3 linked regions of the Lonchura striata genome follow. The protein of the gene in region 2 purifies or fractionates together with the protein of the main gene of each other region. This does not show direct contact. Links are inferred from orthologs where the notes say so. Each region holds a gene or a part of one and is shown on either strand. Other genes may lie near its edges. The genes, in order: CCP110, KIF24 and CEP97.

The links.
Region 1: the proteins of KIF24 (region 2) and CCP110 purify together in Homo sapiens (co-immunoprecipitation; 4 studies listed by BioGRID and IntAct, with this or other methods). This does not show direct contact. The link is inferred for Lonchura striata from reciprocal best matches to the Homo sapiens genes KIF24 and CCP110.
Region 3: the proteins of KIF24 (region 2) and CEP97 purify together in Homo sapiens (co-immunoprecipitation; 4 studies listed by BioGRID and IntAct, with this or other methods). This does not show direct contact. The link is inferred for Lonchura striata from reciprocal best matches to the Homo sapiens genes KIF24 and CEP97.

What each region holds. Positions count from the first base shown.
Region 1 is NC_134618.1:10,063,071-10,070,701, reverse strand, and holds the start of CCP110 (centriolar coiled-coil protein of 110 kDa), read right to left. Parts: upstream 3,006-7,631; 5' UTR 2,881-3,005; intron 2,213-2,880; 5' UTR 2,077-2,212; intron 972-2,076; exon of another isoform or gene 886-971; intron 804-885; exon of another isoform or gene 681-803; intron 104-680; 5' UTR 94-103; coding exon 1-93. Other genes in the region: GDE1 (glycerophosphodiester phosphodiesterase 1), read left to right, coding at 3,085-3,339, 4,538-4,713, 6,361-6,466, 7,145-7,237.
Region 2 is NC_134642.1:41,232,043-41,239,513, reverse strand, and holds the start of KIF24 (kinesin-like protein KIF24), read right to left. Parts: upstream 3,041-7,471; 5' UTR 2,934-3,040; intron 702-2,933; 5' UTR 619-701; intron 1-618. Other genes in the region: NUDT2 (bis(5'-nucleosyl)-tetraphosphatase [asymmetrical]), read left to right, coding at 4,408-4,540. UniProt on the Homo sapiens protein: Microtubule-dependent motor protein that acts as a negative regulator of ciliogenesis by mediating recruitment of CCP110 to mother centriole in cycling cells, leading to restrict nucleation of cilia at centrioles.
Region 3 is NC_134604.1:733,110-740,990, reverse strand, and holds the start of CEP97 (centrosomal protein of 97 kDa), read right to left. Parts: upstream 3,071-7,881; 5' UTR 3,049-3,070; coding exon 2,877-3,048; intron 2,647-2,876; coding exon of another isoform or gene 2,337-2,646; exon of another isoform or gene 2,225-2,336; intron 1-2,224. Other genes in the region: ZBTB11 (zinc finger and BTB domain-containing protein 11), read left to right, coding at 2,337-2,646, 5,505-5,740, 6,381-6,612, 7,720-7,881. UniProt on the Homo sapiens protein: Acts as a key negative regulator of ciliogenesis in collaboration with CCP110 by capping the mother centriole thereby preventing cilia formation. Required for recruitment of CCP110 to the centrosome.

The sequences.
Region 1 (7,631 bases), on a different chromosome or scaffold from region 2:
CTGAACAGTCAAGGAGGTTTTTCCTTTTATTGCCTCTTCTTGGATTCTGGAAAGATGCTTCCTACAGAATATTTCATAGTCCTCCATCTTCATGTTGTCTAACCTGCAAAGAATAATAACATTACTCATCCATGTACTTCCAAGACACTGAAGGGGAAAACAATAACACCACTAATTCTGTGTCTCTACGTTTTGGGAAGCAAATTCTACGTTAGAAAACTGAATTAAGTTTGTCTTCTTTCTACCATTAACAAAGCCTGCAAAATTCTTCCTTATTTTCCCCTATTAAAGGAGAATCTGCATGTAAGAGCAAAAATTATGATCACGGGCACACAGAGAAGAAAGCACGCATTGTGATAATTAGGATTTACAAAACTGTACCTACTATAGATAATTTCCATCAAAGACTAAACCTTTGAGATCTTCCACAACGAGACACATCCTATCAATTGTTACAAAAACCCCAAAACCCGGCCCAAACAAACCTGCAGCCCAATTGAATTAAAAAAAAAAATTAAAAAAAAATAAAAAGCCTTTATATGTTTAGGGGGCTGAGAGGAATTCGTGTCTCACTCCCGCGAGCTTCCACGTCTGTATGAACAGACGCCAATACTTACATCACAAAGAAAAAAAAAAAAAAATCAAATTGCAGCCTCGTATCCTTAAAAGCGGCCAAATACCTGAAAGATGTCTCACTGCCCGTCCCCACCGGAGCGAGCCCCGCAGCGCCGGGCAAGGCCTGACAAGGCTTTGTTCGCCGGCACGCCGCTTCGGCCGGTTCCTGCCCGCCGCTGCGGGGCACGGAGCCCGCCCCAGCCGGGGCCGATGCACGCCCGCCCCGCCCCGGCGCTCCCCCCGGGCCCGGGCCCGTCCAACGCTCGGTACCTGCGCGGGACTGGCGGCAGCTCCGGCAACCGCCGCGCAACGGCCGGGCCGCCGCTCCACGGGCCCGGCGCGCCCCGCCCGCCGCTCCGCCCCCAGAGCACGGGGGCCCGGCGCCGCCGACACCGTGTGCGCTCGCACCGCGGGACAGCGAAGGCAGCCCCGGCCCAGCCCGGTGACAGGGGCTGCAGCGCCGTCCCGCAGCTCCCATTTCCACCCACAGCTCCCCCAGATAAGCTCCCCTGCGAGCACGGGTGTGATCTGTTCTGCTTCATCCCATTACAGACCACACGGCTGTGCGGTCCCTGTGGATGTGCCGCTGCAGGTATCAGTTTCAGCGAGCACGCTAAGATAAGAGAGATAAAGGTGAGCACCTGTTGCCATGCTCTGCGAGGACAGCATCCACCAGGACAGCATCCATGCGGGCATCACCAGACATCCTATCCCTCCCGCCCGGGCTGCAGCCAGCTGCCGGTCTAGCCAGTCCAGCAGCAGGTAACACTCACCTGTCAGGCAGGTCAGGTGGAAGGGAAATCCACACTTGTTTGCCAGGCATAATTAATTTAAATATATGGACGCATCTAATTCCCAGCATTTAGAGCTGTTAAAGCTGTCATTCTAGTTTCAAAAAATAAGTTCATCATCTGTTACCTCTTCAGCGATCATTGAGGGGATTTATTTTTTTAAATTTCATCTTTAATCTTAACAAATGCTATTGTTTATCAAAAGGTTTTAAAAGTATGTTAGACATCTAATTAGACAGCCCATTAATTGTTGTGCAATTGCATGTATATCTCTGATTTTTCTTCAGCTACACCTGGCAGAAGCGCAAAGCCACTAACAGAGTATCTGAGATGCTCAGAACCAGCTAGGACATTATGTGACAAATCTTCATCTCAGCAATTTAAACAAAAAACAAAACTAAACCAAAAAAAAAAAAAAAAAAAAAAAAAAAAAAAACTACAACCATTCAGAACATGGTCTTGTGCCTGTTCTACCTCTAGTTGGACAGAGCTCCTCACTGGAAAGTCAGTTGCTTCCCATACTTCCCACAGATACCCAAAGAGGGTCAAACCCCCCAGTCACATCAACACAAACTGCTAGTTCCTCACTTTGCTATCCCACTTCTAGACTAATCCTGCTCAGGTTCCCCACCCTTCACTTAACCGGTTGTTTTCGTGCCTTGTTGCTCACCTCTGGGTTCTTGGCGGATGTTCACAGGTGTCGGGTGGCCGGAGCCGCGCTCCCTGGCCAGCAGCCGCCTCTGGCCGGGCAGGAGGCACCGCCTGCTCCTCCCACGGCTCCCGGGCTGGCCTGCGGACAGGCACGGCTGCATAGAACACACTATATATAACACTGTCTATAACAAACCCAGCAAACAGCTGGAAAATAATCACTATGGATGTTATGTTTCTAATTAGCTAGCTGGCATAGCTGCGGAGAGCCCTCAACACTTTCCATCCACACGGGTGTTCTGCGACTCCCTGGACAGCGCTGCCTTTCCTTCCATTAGCACCCTTCACTTTCATCCGCACCATGTTCCATCAGGAACACCCCGCTTCCCTCAGAGCCCCGTGTTCCATCAGGAACAGCCTTTGTTTCACTCAGTGTTCCATCAGGAACAGCCTTTGTTTCACGCAGAGCCCATGTTCCATCAGACAACCCCTGTTTCCGTCAGTGCCCCGTGTTCCATCAGGCACAGTCCTTATTTCCCTCAGTGTCCATCAGGCACAGCCCCTGTTTGTTTCTCTCAGTGTCCATCAGGCACAGCCCCTATTCCCCTCAGTGTCCTTAAGGCACAGCCCCTGCCGCTCCCCTCAGTGTCCATCAGGCACAGCCCCTATTCCCCTCAGTGTCCATCAGGCACAGCCCTTATTCCCCTCAGTGTCCTTAAGGCACAGCCCCTGCCGCTCCCCTCAGTGTCCATCAGGCACAGCCCCTATTCCCCTCAGTGTCCATCAGGCACAGCCTCTTCCCGCACGCCGCTCCCGGCGTTACCTGAGGAGGAGCCTGGGGCCCGGGCCCGCCCTCAGCGCGGCAGGCGGGCGCCGCGCGGACACTGCGGGCGCTGATTGGCTGCTGCGGCAGACAGCCGAGTGCTGATTGGCTGATGGCGCCGCCGTCACCGTCGGCGAGACGGCGGCCGCGGTTCCGGCCCGACAGCGGCCGTGACCCCGGCCCGGCCCCGGCCCCGGCCGCGCCATGCTGTGCCACGGGGAGGGCCTGCTGAGCCCGCTGACGGCTCTGCTGGTGCTGGCGCTGGCGCTGAGCCGCAGCCCGGCGCTGGCCTGCCTGCTGCCGGCCGGGCTGTACCTGGCGCTGCAGCTCTTGGCGCTGGAGCCCGCGGCGCCCCAGAGCGCGCAGCGCGTGCTGCGGCCCCGCGGCGCCGCCGGCCGCATCGCGCACCGCGGCGGCGCGCACGACGCGCCCGAGAACACGCTGGCGGCCATCCGACAGGTCAGCGCGGGCCCCGGGGCTTTGCCTGCCGATCCGCCCCTCCCGCGGCGAGCCGCCCTCGCCCGGATAACTCGGCCGTCCTTCCAGAGCTGCTGGAAGCTGGGTGGGCGGGGGGTCCTTCATCCCAAAGGGAACTTCAGATCCGGCTCTTGTGGGAACTGTTGTAGCCTTGGTGCTGATGGGTAACTCAGCCGTGCAGCAGTAATGAAATACTGGATTTCCCTGATGTAGCAACAGCACACAGAGAGTGCACAGCAAGTCAGGAACTGGTTGTGTGTTTTTTTAAACCTTGAAGATCTGTGATGAAAATCCACATTTAGGAGAAAATTCTGGTGCCAGATTCACTGTGGGCAGCCCTGCCATGCCTTACTGCTGCCTCATCTGCAAGGCACCAAGGCACAGCCAGGATTCACAGTCTCTTTCTGAGAATCATTTGAGATAGTGATTACCAGTCTCTGGAATGTAGTGTTTCTGTGAGGCTGAGACGTTGCTGCTCTGAGGATCTCTTGCCTTTGTGTGAGACAGGATTCTCAGTCCTGATAAATTCTGAAGCTGCACACTCCTTACAAAGCAGACACCTGGAGGCAACCTCTGTACCCGGTGTTTGTCCCTTTTCCCAGGAGGGCATTTGTCCTTCAGAGCAATTGGTGTTGTTAACACTTTACTCAAATGTTTTTCTAAAGAGCTTTTGGGAAAGATCCAGGGCAGGAACAGGGTGTATGAAATGTTCTAAGGCAGCCTGGCTGCTTCTTGCTCTGTGATAAAGCCATTCCTGAGAGGAGCAGGGATTTGCCATCCATCTGCTGCTTGGAATACACGTGGTGAACAGCGTTGACTGCATGTTAAAGTGTAGACATTTGCTTCTCTTGTCTTTTAGAAAATAACATAAGGACTCCAGGGTTATTACATCAGGAGAGAGCAGGATTCTTTTCTGCATTTTTATCCTGAAAGTTCCAATCCCAAGACTGAGGCAGAATCATTATGATTTCAGCTGTAAAATAGATTAGATGGTTCAGCTGATTTTTGAATGCTCAGCAATGACTTGGATAAAACCTACTTTTTTTCTGCAGATGAAGACAACTGAAAAGTCCATTAATGTTTTATTATTTTTTACCAAAATACAAGCTAATTATAGCTGTACCTGTGTCAAATCTATAAAGCTGTCTCTTCTGTTGTGATTTTTAAAATTTTTTTTAAGGCAGCTGAGAATGGAGCAACGGGTGTGGAGCTGGATCTTGAATTTAGTGCAGATGGTGTCCCCATCCTCATGCACGATGACACAGTTGAAAGGACAACTGATGGGGCTGGGAGACTGCAGGACCTGACTTTTGAGGAAATCAGGAAGCTTGATCCATCTGCGAAACACAGGCTACGGTAAATGAACTGTTCTGAAATTACACTTTTGACAGTGGGAAAATAATTCTAGATGAACAACATTATTGATTTGATCTGTCACTGATTAAATTTTTCTTTTAATTTAAAACTTAGTCCAAAATTTGACTAAAACTTAGTCAAATTACTTCTAATTTGATTTTTTAGGCATATGAAACTATATCTCTTTACTCATCAGTAGATTAAGAACAGTGAAACACATTAAAAAAAAACACAGTCAAGGACAAAATCCACAGGCATCTGATGTGAAACAGGTCAATATCTACATAAGCTTGTCCTAAATTGACTGCAGGACACTGAAGGTGCTGGGATTTTCATGATATGTCAGAATTGTCTAGAGGAATTACTTCTAAGATTAGTTTTATTCACATGTATTTCTTGACTGATTGTGTTTTGGAGATCTTATACATCAGGTTTATACTGTTAAAGAGGAGCTGGACAGATTTTGGGTGGTGGCCTCACTGTGACCCTAGTGGCTGATTAGGTCCTTCCTAGGGGTATGCAGGGGAAAATATTTTTATACATTACTAAGAATTTGATAAAAATGTTATATACATATAATATATGTATATAATATAATAGTACATACATATAATAACATAATATATACATATAATATATGTATATAATATATAATTACAAAGAATTTGATAACAAGGCAACTTCTGCAGTATCATAAGTGAGTCCATTTCAGAGGAAGAACTCGCAGTGTGTGCTCCTGAGACACTGTATTAGGGAATTCCAGAGCTGCAGAGGTGCCTCCTGTGAGTGTGTGGCACAAGGAGTATCTTCCCTGTCTCACTGGAAGGGTGATCACTTGGGCCATGCAGGGGGAATTTCCACAGGCAGTGACTGCTGAACAGCTGCTGTTCACTGTCAGGAGTGAATGAACTGTCACCCCATCAGGAATGATTTATTGATGGGTTGTTACTTTGGTTTTTTTTGAGAGTTTTAAAGTCCTTTTAAAAGTTCTTACACTTTCTGATATTTACATGTTTTAACTGATTTTTCTCACACACTGTTTATGCAAATAATGATTGTTTTGTGTTTTTCTTTGTAGGTAGAGAGAATTGATGAACTGTTAGTTTGACTAGTGTAATTAGAGAGGTGGTAGTTTCACCCTCTAATCTGCTGTCATTTTGTTATATATATATATATAAATATATATATATTTGTGTTATATATATATATGTTGTATATATAGGGGAGTTAGAAAATAAAGTTTGCTTTTCAAAGTTCGTTTTCTTTCCTTTTACACCTAGCCTGCTTCTGAAAGTTATTTCGTGTCACAGTGTAACAATGGGTGAAGCTGCTTCTGCTAAATCCTCAGCTTGTCTTGCCTGTTCTGCCAGGATCTGCATTTCTGACTAGGGCTGGGAAGTGCAGTGGGAGCAGGAGGAAGGCAGCAGTTGGGACTGAAAGCTTATTTGTGGGATCTGGGGAAGGAGGTGAAGAACTGGGGCTGGTGTTTTGGGGCAGACACGGGGCCTGTGAGCACTGGATCCCAGCTGCAGTTCCAGTGCAGCAGCAAACTGTGCTGGAATCAGCCCTGTGTGGGTGGCAATATGCAGGCCCATGTATGTGCAGGTGTGTGTTGGCTGCATTCCAAGGAGTTCTCTGTTTCTACAGGAGCCAGTTCCAAGATGAAAAGGTACCAACTCTGAGAGAAGCTGTTGTGGAGTCTATGCATCACAATCTCACAATCTACTTCGATGTCAAAGGCCATGCAAACCAGGTACTGCTCACTGCAGCATGACACCTCCCCTCACCCCTTCTTTGGGTTTCTGACCTGCTGTTGTGTTGGTCTCAGACCAAGTCCCTTCTTTAACATGAGCAAGCCCAGGTCTGCTGCTTGTGTCACCCAGAGTTGTCCTGGGAAGCTGCAGCTTAAAATTGCCCAAGCCTTGTGCAAGTGTTGCACTCAGCTCACAGCACTGCTGTGAAACAGAGCAAAGGGAATTCCCTGCGGTGCTGAGGGGAGTCAAAACCTCATCTTCAGCCTCCAGAAAGGGATCTATAATTTGCATTAGTGAAGGCAGATGCAAATGATCCATCACTAACATTTTATATAAATTAATTTCTTTCTTTAGTTTAGCAAAACATAGCAATAAATAATTTTCCTCTTCAACTTAAGCTTAGGTAGTACTAAAAAATTATATCCATGACATATTTAAGGGTATTTCAAACACTGAGAATCCTACTCGTTGTAAATAATGAACAGAAATTCTTTTGCTAAAAACCAAAATACCATTTCTGTGTTAATGCTATAAACAAGATGCTATTTTTCTTCTCCCTTTCTACTTCAATCTGGCAACACAGCAGGGAAGTGTTTTTAAGATTGTTGTAAAATGACTTTGCAGTGTAAATTAAATATGAGTGTGTGTATAACATCTCTGTGTGTCTCTAATTGCAGGCAGTTGATGCCCTGAAACAACTCTACCAGGAATTTCCACAGTTGTATAACAGCAGCATTGTCTGTTCTTTCATGCCAGACGTTGTTTATAAGGTGATGTTTCCTAAAAGTTTATTTTTAATTTCTTTAGTCCTGTCTGGGAATTTCACTATGGTATTAACCTCCCAGTTCCAGATTACTTTTTGGCTGTTCAAATGCCTAAGGCTTTTATAAACAAATGAAGCATAATGCATAATCTTATTACTTTACTCATTAGATGCAAATAGGAATCTACAGCAATTCCTTCCCTTTTGAAAGCAGTGCAGAGAAACGTGCTTTGGTCTTCTAGTTGGTGTCTGGCCAGGTATCTGTGCGCAAAGTACCGGCTAAATAAACCTTTTATATTTTACATTACTCCTAAAACTCTATCCTCATTCTTACTGCCAAGTGTGTTTATTTTTTTTTCCCCATTATATACATTGCATGACTGCTATGTAATTTCTTTAAC
Region 2 (7,471 bases):
GCCAGCAATTCCTCAGTTATTTGTTTGTTCATCCATGAGAATAATATGTCATGAGGCAGAAAAACATGCAATTCTTCAGTGTGTTCTTTTCATATCAAAACCTAGGTCTTGTTCCCCACAACGATATGGGTAGCTTCACTTAAAACAGGGTTGAGATAAAAGACAAGGACTTCTTGCAATAGTTGGGTGTAACATATTTTGAGAAAAAGGAGAGTGTGGAGGTAAAATTCTCCATGTGCACCTAGCCTGACATCTCTATGTGGCAACCATGAATTCTCTACAACTTGTTTCTTATGCTGAGACATTTTACAACGATCTTAAAAGGCTTCCAGATGCTGGTAATGTGTAAGTGCTCGTTGAATAAAAGCATTAGAATGATATATAAAAGGGAGCAGCTTAGCCACAGAATTAGCTCACAGCTTGTCATCAGAGAACTCTTCCCCAGCTTCACTAATACAGGTTTTTCAAAGGTTGTACAGCTGATGAAAACCAGAAAAGTCAGTGTAAATAAAAGAAAGCAGTGGCCACATTTTTCTGTCCTGAAAGAAATTAACTTACAGCAAAATTACACTCTAGGTGCTGACTCTCCATTTTAAAGTGCTTCAAATTATTAATTACCTCTTTCACAAGATCTTTTCCTTCTCAATGCACTTTTCAAGGTGGAGGAAAGGTCTTCGAAGATGCTTGGTGACTGTCAATCACTGTGTATAAAATACATTATGTAAAAGTGCCATAGAGATTATTTTAAGAATAAAGCAGCCTAGAACCACTATATCTTGATCATTATTAACTTCTGATTTATGAAAGATCTCAGCACCCCATTCACTTGAGTAACCCTCACATGGACAGTTTTCCCACTGTAGCTCACTCATATTGACCTGACAATTTTTGATTATTTAGAGTGATAATTTCAGATTTAGATGATTTCCTGAGTGTCACCACTGAGAGAGAACACGTGTCATTATATCTATTCTTTAAATTAGGGAAATAAAGTGAAGAAATCTTACGTGACATTGCCACAAATGCAAATGATACATTTTGTCCTGCATATAGTCTAAGGTAACCACTCTGAACATTAACTCTGGCCTGATCACTAAATAAGTTTATTAGTCATGATTTTCAAGGGTATTTGATAAACATAGAAAATGTTAATCAGCATACAAAACATAAACACTACCTTCTTTTCTTTTAACTTTTTTATAATGTGCTCTGCAAGTACATTATAAAAATAAAACTTAAGAGCTTTAAAAGTTTGTAAATGTGTAGCAGGTGGGTGTTCTCTCCTGATAGCAACTACAGCAGCACACTGTACTCATTACTTGCAACCATTTTACCCCCCAAAAAACTTCAGCACAGGTCCTGCCCATGCCAAAGAATTTGCACGTTTCTTGAAATACAGAAGCAAAGAATGAATAGGGAAAAGGGAAAGGTATTAATTTGTGTCACTACCCATCCACCTTCATTCCTGATTCCTTTGAACATCAAGCTCTTTTTTTTAAGGTGATCCAAAACCAAATCTGACTGAACCCTCCAAAAGTGAATGGCTAACTTGCTTTCTGAGACCACCACACAAAACCCTTTACCTTTAGTCATTCTGACCCCATTCCTGGGGAATTAGGGTCCTGTGAAGAACAGGGTCAGGCTGCAGCTGCACTTTTTTAAGACAAGCTCCACAATAAGAGATAATCTGTACTGTAAAACGAGCCCAGAATTTTAGTTTAATTTAACAGGTAGGGATCTGTGAAACCGTGATTGACATTGCAGCAGATCCCTTTGGAAGATCATAGGATTACTCTACCCTGCACGCAAACAACAGGGCATTAAACATTCCATGGCTCCTTGGAACAAGTGTTCAGCTGTTTGGAAGCTGGGCACTGATAGATAGCCACTTACTTAGCATCAGTACAGCATAAGTAACTGGAGAGGAGGAAAAGGTTTTAATGCTAAATTGTTTTAATGCAATTTTACAGCTGGAGCTTGGCACAAGTCTGCTGCTTGCAGCAACAAGTAAGAAAAGGGGGTTTCCCTTGTCACTGACATACCTTGAAGAAGTTGCTAAAACAATTAATGTCATTAAAACCACCTTACAAGCAACTAAATATTGGGGATTTTTTTGTTTCCCCAGAAAGCATTTCAGAGTATTGTATTGCTCTAGCCACACTAATTAATGTCATTAAAATTGGCTGACAACCAAATGAATATAAGAGATTTTCTTTGTTTCCCCAAAAAGTATTTCAGAGTGTTTTATTCCTCTCTCCATACTAATTATAGACGGGTGACCTCAGCAGAATAGGCCCCATCCTACAGCTGATCCTGACAGCTGCCAGAAACAGCTGCACAAAGAAGGGAAAGTCTCCAACACAGGGATACTGAATATTAGAAGTGTCCAATATTCAACCACACGCCGAGAAAATAACCCACGAGTTATGGCAGGGTGCCAATTATTTGAAAACCGTGCCTGAGCTCATCCTCCCAGCAGGATATACCAAACGTCCATCATGGTTTCTTTAATAATTTCAACGTTTTATTTAAAGTTTAAAATATAAGCGTAAAAACATATTTCATAGATATTATAAAAATATATATTAACACTGTTTTAAATAGTACTCAAGTATTTTAGAAATTTTTGCATAATGTATATCTATTTTTAATTGCACTTACATATTTTACGTGTTATATAAACTACGTGCTATCTGTAAAATAGATAAAATACACAATTGAAAAGTATTTTATAGCTATAAAAGTGCAGTTAAACAAAGTGCCACGCGTCCGGACTTCCGCCGTGCAGGGGGCCCCATGCCTCATCCTTCCCGGAGCTGTCCCAGCACGGCCCTTCCCCGTCTAGAGCCCGGTGGGGCCGGTCGGGGCGATGTCCCTGGAGCCCTCCCTGCCCCAGCTGGAGCCGTCCCCTCAGGGGCTCCCCCCTCACTCACCGGCCATGGCGCCGCTCGGCGGCGTTCGGCTGCGTCTCCTTGGCAACAGCGCTTCGAACGCCGCGCGCAGCCTCGCGCGCACAGCCAGCCAATAGGGAGAGGGGAGGGGGGCGGGTGGGGCGCTTCCGCCGGCGAGAGGCCAATCCGAGGCCTCCTCGGGTGCGGGGGCGGGGCCGGGGGAGCCCGGACGAGAAGGGCGTGGCTACCGCCCTCGCTGCTGCCGCTGCGATTGGTTAAGGCTGACGCCAATCACGTCCTGGTTCCCGCCGGCTGCCGGAGCCGGAAGCAGAGGTGATGGCGGGGGTCCGTGGGGGCCGCTGTAGGGGTGATGCGTGTCTGCGTTCCCAGTGTCCCGACCCCGGTGTCCCGTGCCCAGTGTCCCCATCCCTCTGCGGGTGGCGAGAGGCCGGGGCAGCGCGGCCGCGTCGCGCCGGGCGCCGGCGGAGGGGCCCCGCTGGGATTTGTCCTTGTCCTTACAGGCGCGCACGGGAGGTGGTGCTGGTTCCTCGGGCTGGCCCCAGGGCCGCAGTGGGGCTTTGTCCTGGGGGTGCTGTGCCTGAGCTAAAGGAGCTAGGTAAGAACTAAAGGAAGCGGTTGAAGTGGTGGACCACAAGAGCTGAGCGTCGTCCAGGGCTGTGGCTGCTGGCGAAGGGCTCCGTGCTGTGGTTTCCCGTGTTGGAAGCCGGAGGTGTCACGGTGCCGCTCTTGGCGTCCCAGGAAAATGCATTGTTGTGTACAGTTATTTACTGAAGTGTGCGTCTCTGCCAGAATGCAAAGCTTTGCCCAGGACTGGGAATCGGCCAGATTTGTGGAATGAATTACTCGTTTCCATTGCTTCTTTTTCTCTCTAGGACTACTCATGCTGGCTGCGTAGCTTCTTGCTGACAATATTTGTCACTTAAGAGGTGTGTTCCTTACTGTTCACATCAAATCAGTGCTTAGCACGTGTGCTAAGAAACTTGTAGTTTTGTATGACAGCCTTATGTCTAGGTGAGACAGCAGAGAGCCTGTCCTTTGTCATTCATTTTCTCAGCTTTGCTTCTGATATCCTGAGGAGTCCTGTGCTCTAGGAAAACTGCCCGGAGCAATTATTTCCGTATGCCAGTTCCAGTAATGGTGAGCTATTACCTCTGCACAGAGCCTTTGGAGTTTTGCAGTAGAACAGTTTCAGAGTATTAATCTGTGGTTTTCCTTTTGCTTTGTAATTTTTTTCCCCCTCCTTGCAATATGGTTTGCAATTTATCAGCAGCAAAGACATGACTTACAGGTCATTTTTCATGCTTCTCTATAAAAAAGGAAATTTTTTTACAATTCAAAGGCAGCTAATAATATACAATTTAATTCTGTGGTGACTTCAGAGGGGTGGACAATTTTTTTACTGTGCTGAGATCTGTTCACTGGCTAAATACGGCTGGTCTGTTCGAGTCCCTTGTTTGTGCTGTTCTGCAGCTCCTGGTGCAGTTGGCAGAGTGGAATGGCTGTGAGAGCTTGTGGCTTGATCATCTACAGGAGGCTGCAGCCAGCAGCATGCTCTAAGGTCACTGACTGCATCGAGTACCTCCTGCTTCAGACATCCTATGGGACCCACCACTGGACCCCGCCCAAAGGTGATTTTTGTTCTGGTAACACTCCTGGTGGTCAGGCTGCAGAGAGGTTTTTGGCTGAGGTCAGTTTAGAGGGGCAGTTACCACCTGAAAGTAGCTGCTGGCTTGTGCTGTTTGATGGTGCTGGAGGTGAGGGGGCAGTTTTGAGGCTGAAATCCTCTGCAAGTTGTGTCTGTACAAAGTGTTGGGCACGGCTGGTTTGGGTTGGGGCAGGGGCTGTTACCCAGCCGAGCTCTCAGGTGTCTAATGTTTCTGACAAAGATATGCACACGACTGAAGCAAGGTGATGAGAGGATGCTCTACCTTCTTGCCTCGGCCCTCACACTTTGGCAGGTGCCTGCAGTGTTGCCAGTGCAGGATTGTTTGACCCATGTGTGATCAGAGTCTGCAGGGCTGTGGTCACAGTCTTCAGGAAGGCCAACTGAACTCTGTAATAGAACACTTTAATACGCTGTTCTTAGGAGATGCAGGAGATCATTGATGAAGATCACTTGCCTAATGCAGTAGAGATGAGAGGGACAGATAGAAGAATTAACCTTACCAGCCATTCTTGGTCATCAGTGAAGCCTCAGAGCAGAAAACAAACTCTGTGTCCCAGGACAGAGAGCAGCACCTCCTCTGTAAAGGCACATTGCAGAGCCGGTGTTTGCTAGTACACAGTCACAGCCCTGGTACCAGAAAAAGCGCAGCACAGAAATACTTTAGGTTCCCTGGAGATCTTCTTGAATGCTCTTTTTTACCTCTGAGATTTTGTCCTGATAGTTTCTACTTCTCATTTGGTAAAAGTGTGGTACAGCAGTTCATAAACAAGAACTTGCAAATTGGGGAAAAAAAAATCTTTTAACACTGTCAGCTAGGCTCTTCTATTCAGGGAAAGAACAAAACTTTCCCAGTGTTTCCCTTTCCTCTGTTGCACCAAGAATCTAAGGGAGTTGAGTTTGCAGCCTAGTGGAAAGCTAAAAAAATATCTGCTGGGACATGATTGATTGTTGTGAGAAGAAATCTTGTGTAAGGAGCCCTGGGAACACAGTAATTCTGGACAAGTGATTTAAATTGCTTGTAGGCATTTTGGTAGGGAGCTAATTGTCTCATAAGCATATATCTCACACACCCAGAACCACAGAACAATGTAGCTTGGAAGGGACTCTTAAAGGTTGTCTAGTCAAAGCCTCCACCAGTGGGTAGGAACGTCCTCAACTAGAGCAGATTACTCAGAGTCCCATCCAACCTGGACGTTTCCAGGGATGGGGCCCCCACCGCCTCTCCGGGAAACTTGTGCCAGTATTTCACCAGCCTTATAGTAAAAGCAAGTCTTCCTTGTCTGTAGTCTGAGTCTTCCTTCTCCTAGATGAAAAGCAGGAGCCTTTCTCCTGTTACTCCAGGCCCTTTTCAAATGTCTGTCCCCAATTTTCTTATAAACAACCACCCTTTAGGCACCCTGAGGTCTCCCCATAGTCTTCTCTTCTCCAGACTGAACAGCCCCAACTCATCTGGTCTCCAAAGCAGAGGTGTTCCACTCCCTGATTGTATTCATGACTTCCTCTGAACTCAATCCAACAGGTCAATGTCCTTCCCTTGCTGAGAACTCCAGAGATTGATGCAGCATTACAGGTGGGGTCACACCAGAGCAGAGGGGGGGGATCACCTCCCTCAACACTCTGCTTCAGATTTTAGATATTGAAGACCAGAATCTGATGGTGGCCTATAATAGAAGCTTGATAATGATTTGGGGGAATTTAATGAAGAGAAGCTATTCCATTTTATAATACCTGTGATAGGAGTGGTCTTTCAAGGTGGCCCTGGGACATGCAGTATGATAATATGTACGTGATGTTAGGATTGATTCCATGGGGCAGGAGTTAGAAGGAGAAGTCGTACGTGTCTCTCAAAGCATACACAAAAGGCAGTTAACAGCTACAGCTGTACCTTGTTATTTTATAAAGTCTCGAAGCTGCTGCATCTCTTATGGGATTAAACTGGATCCCCTCACATGTACCTCATCAGCCTTATCTCTGTCCCTAGGACCGTGACTTTTCACTAGCGGAGGCTGATGGGAAGGGGATGTAGGGTTCATTTTCCTTCTCAATCTATTAGAACTGCACCAGTGGGAACAGGTGGGAGGATCTGAAAGCTGTGGTGTGTGAGGTGCTGCCTGCAGTCCTTTTTGTGCTCTGCAGGTAGACTGGACTGCACAAATGTGGCAACTTATTGAGCTCAGACCTGAGGTTATCAACAGGTATCAACATCAGATGCTGTGTTCTGCATAGCTGCTTCTTGAAAGAAAAATGTATTTTACATTTGAGGTGATGTCATGTTGTAAGAGGTTGTTCACATTTTTGATACACGGGCAGGGAAGTGAGTGGGACCCGTTGCAAAGGCAAAACAAACTTCCTACATAGCCCAGATGTGGTACTAAAAGGACACTTTGGGTATCTGAGACCCGAGGAACAGTTAATCTCTGTGGTGAATTTATAGCTATTTGGAGCCAGCTACATAGAAAATAGAGTAACACCAGGGAAAAAACAGAGCTTAAACTTCTTTTGCCTTCTAAAATGTCCCAGGTCCTGCTATGTTGCTTTTTTTGAGGTATTGCTTGGCTTGTTCTATTTATGTTCCGGAGCTTTCATGAGAAAACCAAATCTGACATTTCTCAACAAAAGTAGATATGGCTGAGGATGTGTTATATTTATACATTGTTTGTAGTGGCACCTCTTGTTCTGAGCAATGTAAAATAAATGGTGTGTCCTAGGAGAACTAACTACCCAGCTGCTGAAAGGACTGGCTTTCAGATTTTTTGCTTGTTTCAGAAGGTAGTATGGAAGAGAAAAAATCCCTAGCTGCTTAAATGAAATGCACCTTTTAAATGGTACGTGTCTGTGCCTAGTCCTGTTGTTTCTGGACCATTGGCACAACTAAGAGTTTTGCAGAATTGAG
Region 3 (7,881 bases), on a different chromosome or scaffold from region 2:
TGTGAAGATTTGGTTTCAAATGCAGCTGATGTTACACAGTTAAAGCACATTTAGGTTCATATTTAACTTGCTGAATGCAGCTAGGGGCTCCCTTAGTAATTTTCCACCCTCCCACTGCTAGAGGGATTGAAATTCCTTATGGGAGTTCCTGTGTCTGCTAAGTAACTGCACTGTGCAGACAGCTTGCCCAGACTTTGCCGGTTTTGCTGGACAGGAATGGCCTTGGCAAAGCAATGTCCTGATTAACTAGAACCAAAACAGAAAGCAAACCTTCACTATTTTCTGTATCAGTTACTTTTCTGTTGATACTGTGAGGGCTTGATTTGTTACCTTACGACCAGTCAAGAAGACGGCTGTGTTTCAACTTCCTGCAGTCCTGGGCTTCGAAAACAATGGCTGTAATGGGCACTGTGGATTATGGGCTGTACTTAACACCTTGTTTGGGTTTTAGTAAAATAGATATGGGTCTGGATGAAGGCTACAACCCATTTAAAAAGGTCTGGCTTGATGATATTAATTGAATCTGCACCATGATCTTCCAAACAATTTTGCTTTTTGCTATTAACAAAATCCAGCGCTACTTATTTAGAAAGAAATTGGAAGCTAGTTAGCACGTTTGAAAGCAAAGGGTCCAGAAACAAGAGGGGAAAAGAGAGGAAGAAAAATTGCCTGTAGTTAGGAGGGAAAGGAATTATAATAATTTAATACTGAAGGCTGAAAACACCTCTGAATATTACCCGTGCTAGTGGCGATTATAAAAATCACATCACTGTCTTCTACAAGACACCTGGTACCCTGAATGTGTCCTTGTGAATATTTTCAGCTAAGAAGCTGAAAATAAAGATGAGTTTTTACCATCTGCTTGAAATACCATTAATGATATATACAGAAACTGGCAGATATGACTAATTAATAAGTTAGTATTTGTTAATGCTTTGAAGTTTGCAGGCTTTGGCTGCCTGGTGTCACTGCAGCAGTGCACAGAAGGGCTTCACAATTTCTCTTCCTTGCTGCTTATTCCCGAGTTGTGATATGAGAAGAAGAGTGACAGCCCATCAGGTTACTCTTCTGAAAAGCTATGCACTGAGTGAGGCAGGCTGTTCAGAGCAGAATAAACAGCACTTTATTCACCTCAAACACAGATGTAATAGAATGAGTTACGGAAATTAATGTAAGCCCTTGTTCACCTAATTTAATGTAGTTGAGCCTCTATCAGGTATTTGTCAGGAGAAATTGCGTACCTACGTTTGTCACAGACCTACAAAATAATTTTGGTTTAAAAGGACATCAACTCTGTTGAAAATGCGTCTGTTTAGATGGGATTTAGTATCCAGCTGAGTCTTGAACACAACTCCAAGGACAGAGATTCCATAACCTAAGGCCGCCTGTTCCAGTATTCGACCAGTGCCATTGTTAATCCGAAAAACTAAATACAGAGCCCTTTTTCTACATAAACAGCGCTTTTGGGCGGCTTTGCTCAGTCTGGTGGGTATCTGTGTGTGGGGACCGCGGTGCTCCCCGTGCGCCCCGCAGGTACCGAGCGCAGGGAAAGGGATGGGGAATGGAACTGGGAATGGGAAACAGCCACAGCCCCCGGCTCCCGCCTGGCGTGCCTCTGTTACGGGCGTAAAAACCAGCGCACAGCTCGGACAAGCAAAACGCGCAGCCGCCTTCTAAAGGACTTTGTTTCTTGCCCCTTACGGACGAACAGCGCGCCCCGAGCGCCCCGGGGCGTGGCTGCGGCGCTGCTGCTGCTCCCGCTGGGCACGGGTGACCCCACTACTCCCCTGGCAGCTCCTGCCCGCCGAGCAGGAGTTTGGGAGCCGGGGCTGCACAGGGGTTCATTCCAGGGGTTCATTCCTGGCATTCGTTCCCTCGGGAGCGCTCCCGGCTGCACCGCCGCAACCGCGCCCCGCGGCGGGCTTTGCCCGGCTCCGACATGGCGGCCCCGGCCTCGCGCCCGTGCTCTGCCCTGCCCGGTTCCGACATGGCGGCCCCGCCTTGTGCCCGGGCTGTCCCCTGCCCGGTTCCGACATGGCGGCCCCGCCTTGTGCCCGGGCTGTCCCCTGCCCGGTTCCAAGATGGCGGACCCGCTCCCCCCGCCCCTTCCCCGCCCCTCCCGCGCGCGCGCGGCGCCGCCTCACTTCCGCTTGTGCAGCAGCCATTTTGTCTTTCCGCCGCCGCCGCTGCCCGAGCTTCTCCCTCCCTCCCGCCGCCGCGGGCCGCGACACTCCAGTTCCCCCCCGGCGCGGCTCCCGCCGGGCCGGGGCCCATCCCGACCCCCTTCCCGCACCCCGGCAGGCTCCTCCGCAGCCCCTGAGGGCTCTGAGGGCGCGATGTCCAGCGAGGAGAGCTACCTGGCCATCCTGCGGTACCTGACGAACGAGCGGGAGCCGTACGCGCCGGGCACGGAGGGCAACGCCAAGCGGAAGATCCGCAAGGCCGCCGCCTGCTACGTGGTGCGCGGCGGCACGCTGTACTACCAGCGGCGGCAGCGCGACCAGCAGCGCTTCGCCGAGCTGGAGGTGGTGCTGCAGGCCGAGCGCCGCGCCCGCCTCATCCGCGCCGCGCACCTGGCGCCCGACGGCGCGCACCGCACCCGCCTGCAGACCTGGCACGGGCTGTCCCAGCGCTACTGGTGGAGAGGTGAGAGCGCGGCTCGGCGCGGCTCGGCTCGGCTCGGCTCCCCTGATGCGGGCTCGCAGCCTGTGCCAGCGCGCCGGCGCCTTCACTCGAGTGCTCTGGTTCTGTTCTGTTCTAGCTCCTCGCGTTCTCGCGTGGAACTTCCCGTGCATTAGTTTCCCTTCCTTGTGTCATTGCTTGGCACCAGCGGGACCTCGCTCCGTGCTCCTGGCACTCTCTATTTAGATATTTACCGACATTATGCGGTCCCCTCTCAGTCGTCTCGTCTCGAGGCTGAGCGGGCGCAGTTCCCTCAGCCTTTCCTCCTAAAGAGATGATTCGGTCCCTTAACCATCTTCGTTGCCTCCGCTGTAGCCGGAGTTGCATGTCTCCCTTGTGCTGAAGGTCTCCCTTCCGTGTTCCCATCCCTGGCGGGACAGGAGGGACTGTCACTCGCTGAGTGACCAGAGCCTTTAAACGCCACCTGGAAGCAGTGTGGCAGTGAGATGTGTCACAGCCCGAGAGGCAGGGCTCACCCTGCGCGCTGCATCTGGTCAGCGCATTGTCCAGGCTTCTGGTCGGGTGCTGGCACCTTGAATAGGTAGAAACGCGGAGTACAGCTGTCCCCTCCAGGTCTTGCACGCAGCCCAGGTAAGGCAGTGGCATCTCCACTGTGCCCTTGGGATAGGGTGATAATCCAGTCCACGTCACCTGTGTTAGCTTTGGACCTCATTCGTGCATGTGATGGTGTTCGTGTTAAAGTACTGCAGCTGCCAGTGGTGGTTGGCAGTCCTGGCATTCATTGCTTTATTTGTCTCCTTCTTGCAGCGACACGCTGAAGAGACCAGGCTAATTCTCAGCTGGGTCCTGAGTGATGTCACAGCTGTTAGAAATGCTGGTGCCTGAACAGCAATCATTTCCAATTGGGATTTTCTTTTGCCTGAGGAAATGACTCCATATCTTGTTCCCTTTCGATTTGCTGTTCTGCTTTTAGCCCTAGATATCCATGAAACAAATAGCCTGCTTTTCACTTGCCATGGGCCCAGTGTGTGTTTATGTTTATATTGCTTCTCTTGTTCTGCTCTCTTCATCCATCAGCAAGTCTGTAATTTCAGCTTTAGTTTTCCCTATTTTCAGTTGGAGGGATTTTGCTCTAGCTGCAGTCAGTCCCTCCAGTCCAGATCTCATTGACTTGAAGGTATTTTCATGTGAAGAAAGGGTTTGGCATCTCAAAGCTGATACACCCATTTTTGTTTCCTTGCCTTTATTTGCATTCTCATTGTCTGCTCAGCATTGTGCTGTTCTGGCATCTACTCTTATCCTGTGCTGGAAACTTTCTCCATGGGCCTGCCTCAGTGTAGCTTCTGTTAGTCAGGAGAAGGCATTCTGTATTCTTTTGATCTTATTGGTCACCTTTATTTGCACACCCTAAATCCTCTTGCTTCTCTTACACTGAGAATACTAAAATTCATTCCATGCTTTCAGTTCAAGTGTTATGTTTCTTACATATGTCTCCCTTAAGACAATGTTTTCCCAGGCATGACAGTACTCGCTGGCTGCTATGGACAGCAGCTTTGGCCCAGCTGCCATCCTGAGAAGGACATCAGCCTGCTGTGTGTCTGTTCTGTAGCTGCAAGGCCATGGGCTGGAGAATGGCTCTGAGGCCAGGAAGGGTGTTAGAGATGTGATTTGCAGCCCCTGTCTCATTTCAGATGAAATCAAGGAGATGTACAAATGTTGAAATGGGAATTAATATCTTAGCTTGCCTTAAGTCTCTGTTTTCCTCACCCTTGCAGAGACAGGTATTTAATGATAGTGCAAGTCATGCTCTGAGGAGATGTGAGCAAGCAAGTCTTAAGTCTGGGTCAGCAAAGCTTTTGAGCTGTGCTGGATTTTAAATCATGGCCACCTGCTATACGTGCTTTTATATTGTGCTGGTGAAGAGAACGAACTTGGATTGAAAGCCATGCGTGGCAAATGCCTTGGTATCTAGAAGAGGACCCTGCACCTAGGACCTGTTGAGTGTCTGAAATGATTTACAGAATTGCAGAAGGTGCTGAGTGGGAAGGGACGCACAAGGATCACTGAATACAGCTTCTGGCCCTGCACAGGACCATCCCCAAAAGGCACAAGAGTCATTCCTGAGAGCATTGTCCAAACACTTTGTGAACTCTGTCAGGCTTGGTGCTGTGACTGCTTCCCTGGGAAGCCTGTTCCGGGCCCAAACACCCTCTGGATGAAGAACCTGTTGTTAATATCCTACCTAAACCTCCCCTGACACAAATGCAGGCTATTTCCTTGGGTGCTCTCATTTATATTTAGTTCCACTGGTTAAAGTAGTGGTGGGAAATGGAGTTATTTAAATCCCAAAATCATAAGCAATTGTTTTAAATCAGCATTAATAGTTCCCATCAGTGTCATTGCATGTAGCACCGTTGATCCCAATTTTGCTAAAGCTCATAAGTGAGCCTTCCAATTCTTGTCCTCTTCAGGAGGAGCAAGCCATTTGTGTGGGCTAAATACAGGATTACATTACATTTGTCATTACCTTGGGATGATGAGACTAAATTTCTGAATACCGTGTTGGGTTTTGTTTTAGCCTTAATAACCTTTCTAGGAGGGTTTTCTTGATGTAGTGGTATTCAGAATGTTCTGTCTCAAATTAGCAGTAGAGACATACAATATATTGCAATGGTGAGACAATAGAATTGATAATATTGCATTAGAGAGGGAGAGTGTAGGTGACTCGCTTTATTTTTCTTGGTTAGTATGTAATATTTTTGATTATTATTGATATTTTGCTAATCTTCTACATAGTTATTTGTTTACAGTAAATGGAATTAAGATTAGAAGCCTAATCAAGCTCCATTAATTTTTTTTAGGTATTCTTAAGCAGGTTAAAGATTACATTAAAGAATGCAGCAAGTGCCAGGAAAAGCTAGATCGTTCTAGATCTCTGTCAGATCCTTCTGAAATGCTGGAGGAGCTAGGACTGGATGCAAAATCTCATGAAGACAGTAATGAAACAGATGATGAATTGAGTAACACAGCATCAATCCCAGCAGCATCCCCAAAGCCTGTGAAGAAGAAGCCAATAGCAAAGCACGAGCTTGTGTTTGTAAGTACCACTGTTTACAGCTGAATAGATTTGCATTTTCTATTACTGCTTTCTTGGTCATGTACTTCTTTTCCATTGTTGTGGTAATCTTGTTACAGCAAGACTATAAATTTTGCCAAAGATACCGAATATGTAGAAATGGGATACTGGTGTATATGTCATGAAATTAATTACAGGACACCATTGCTGGGAAATAAAATCACCCTATATATTACGCATATAGAATCTAAGGTAAAGTGAATGGCAGTAGTAAAACATCACATACCCGATTCTTATGGGCTCTATATCTTTCTCTTAACACATGATGCTGTACTGATATGTAAACTTCTTGTTCATAACTGCAGGCTCACATGCACATAAAAGACATTTGAATTTAGAAACTTTTTCAGACTGTAACATAGAAAAATACAGTCAAAGAGCTGTTTGAATATGTCTTCCCATTTTCCCAGTTGGTTTTAATTGTGTTTGGAGGGAGGGTGAAACTTAAAGAAAGAAAACAATAGTAAAGTTAAGCTGTATATTCTCCAGGCTTGAACTGATTGTATGGTTGCAGAAAATAATCCTTTTCTGTGTTTCAGTGTGAATGCTTAAAAAGGCACAATCTAAATGTAATGAAGTTCTTAAATGTTGTTTATGACAGGTTGACAGTAAGGGCCTTGTGAAGCAGTCATCTTCCAAACATTGTCTGTCAGTCTTAAACCAGCTGAATCAGCAGAGGCTTTCCAATCAGTTCTGTGATGTGACTTTGCTGATTGAAGGAGAGGAGTACAAAGCTCACAAATCTGTCTTGGCAGCCAACAGCGAGTACTTCCGAGAGCTCTTCATTGAAAAGGGAGCTGTCACTAGTCATGAAGCTGTAGTGGATCTGTCAGGTGAATTGCTGTGGGTTTCAAAGCTAGAAATCTATAATATCCTAAGTAAGGTGTACGGTATTTAATTCAGTCTTTTTTGAGTGTTAAAGACAACCAAATTTTATCTTGCTTTTTTCTCTATTTTAATCTAGAAATATTTTGTGTGGATTGTAATGCAAAAGTGATCACTCTGATTTTGCCTAATCTGATTTTCCATGGACTGTGGTATTTAACCTTAAAATTTCTGAGAAGCTTTTGAGGGATTTTTACCTTGCTTAGGCATGTTCCCTCCTTGTATTAGTCACAAATGTTAAAAAGGGAACAAAGTCGAATGCTTGGGTGCATCAAGTGGGGATGTTGACAAGCTGCTTGGAGAGTAGTTCAGCTTAACAAATGCTAAATTGCTTCTTGTTTCTGTGAAGCAGAATTATACGTGTCTGCTTATTTCTCAGACCTGGTACATGAAAGACAGGAGCTAAAATATATGTTCTAAAAATAGCTTTGTAGTGATGAAGAACAGTGTACAGAACATATGCCTTCTTCATTGCTTTCTCATTTATTAACTGTCTTTCTCAGCATGAACAATAATTGCCTAGTAGGATAGTCCAGAAGGTTCCCCACATTAAATATTTTATTTATTATTTATGTAACTGTGGACGATTATACCAAATTCTTATATTTCAGCATTACTATCTATATGTCCATATTTTTATTGTTTTCAATAGCTACTTCCTTATTTTTCTACCACATCACTTGTTACTTAAGACATGAGTACTTTCTGAATGTAGCAGATCCAGAAAGTCTTTGGTTCAGTTAATCTGCTCCAAAAGTATTGTGGCTCTCCCAGCAACTTGAAATATTCCTATTGTGAAACTCTTTAAGTACTACTTAGTTTTTGAAAAAGTTGTCTGAGCTTTCCCATACATGGAAACTACATGAGGAAAAAGCTGTAGTGTAAATGACAAATTAATTGAGTGCCAGTGATGGGCTTGTTATTTCCAAGTGTGTTTTGCTCTAAGTTTCAGGCTTAGATGTATCAAAGGTGAATTGTTGTATTCATCATGGGATATTTTGGGGTAATTTCAGCTCATCATTACTTACTCTAATATCTTGTTTTATTCCTGGTAGGTTTCTGCAAGTCCAGTTTCCTGCCTTTACTGGAATTTGCTTATACTTCAGAATTAACGTTTGACTTCTGTAGCATGGCAGAAGTGGCCATGCTCGCCCGGCATCTCTTCATGTCAGAGGTCCTTGAAATCTGTGAGAATGTGCACAAGCAGATGGAAGAGA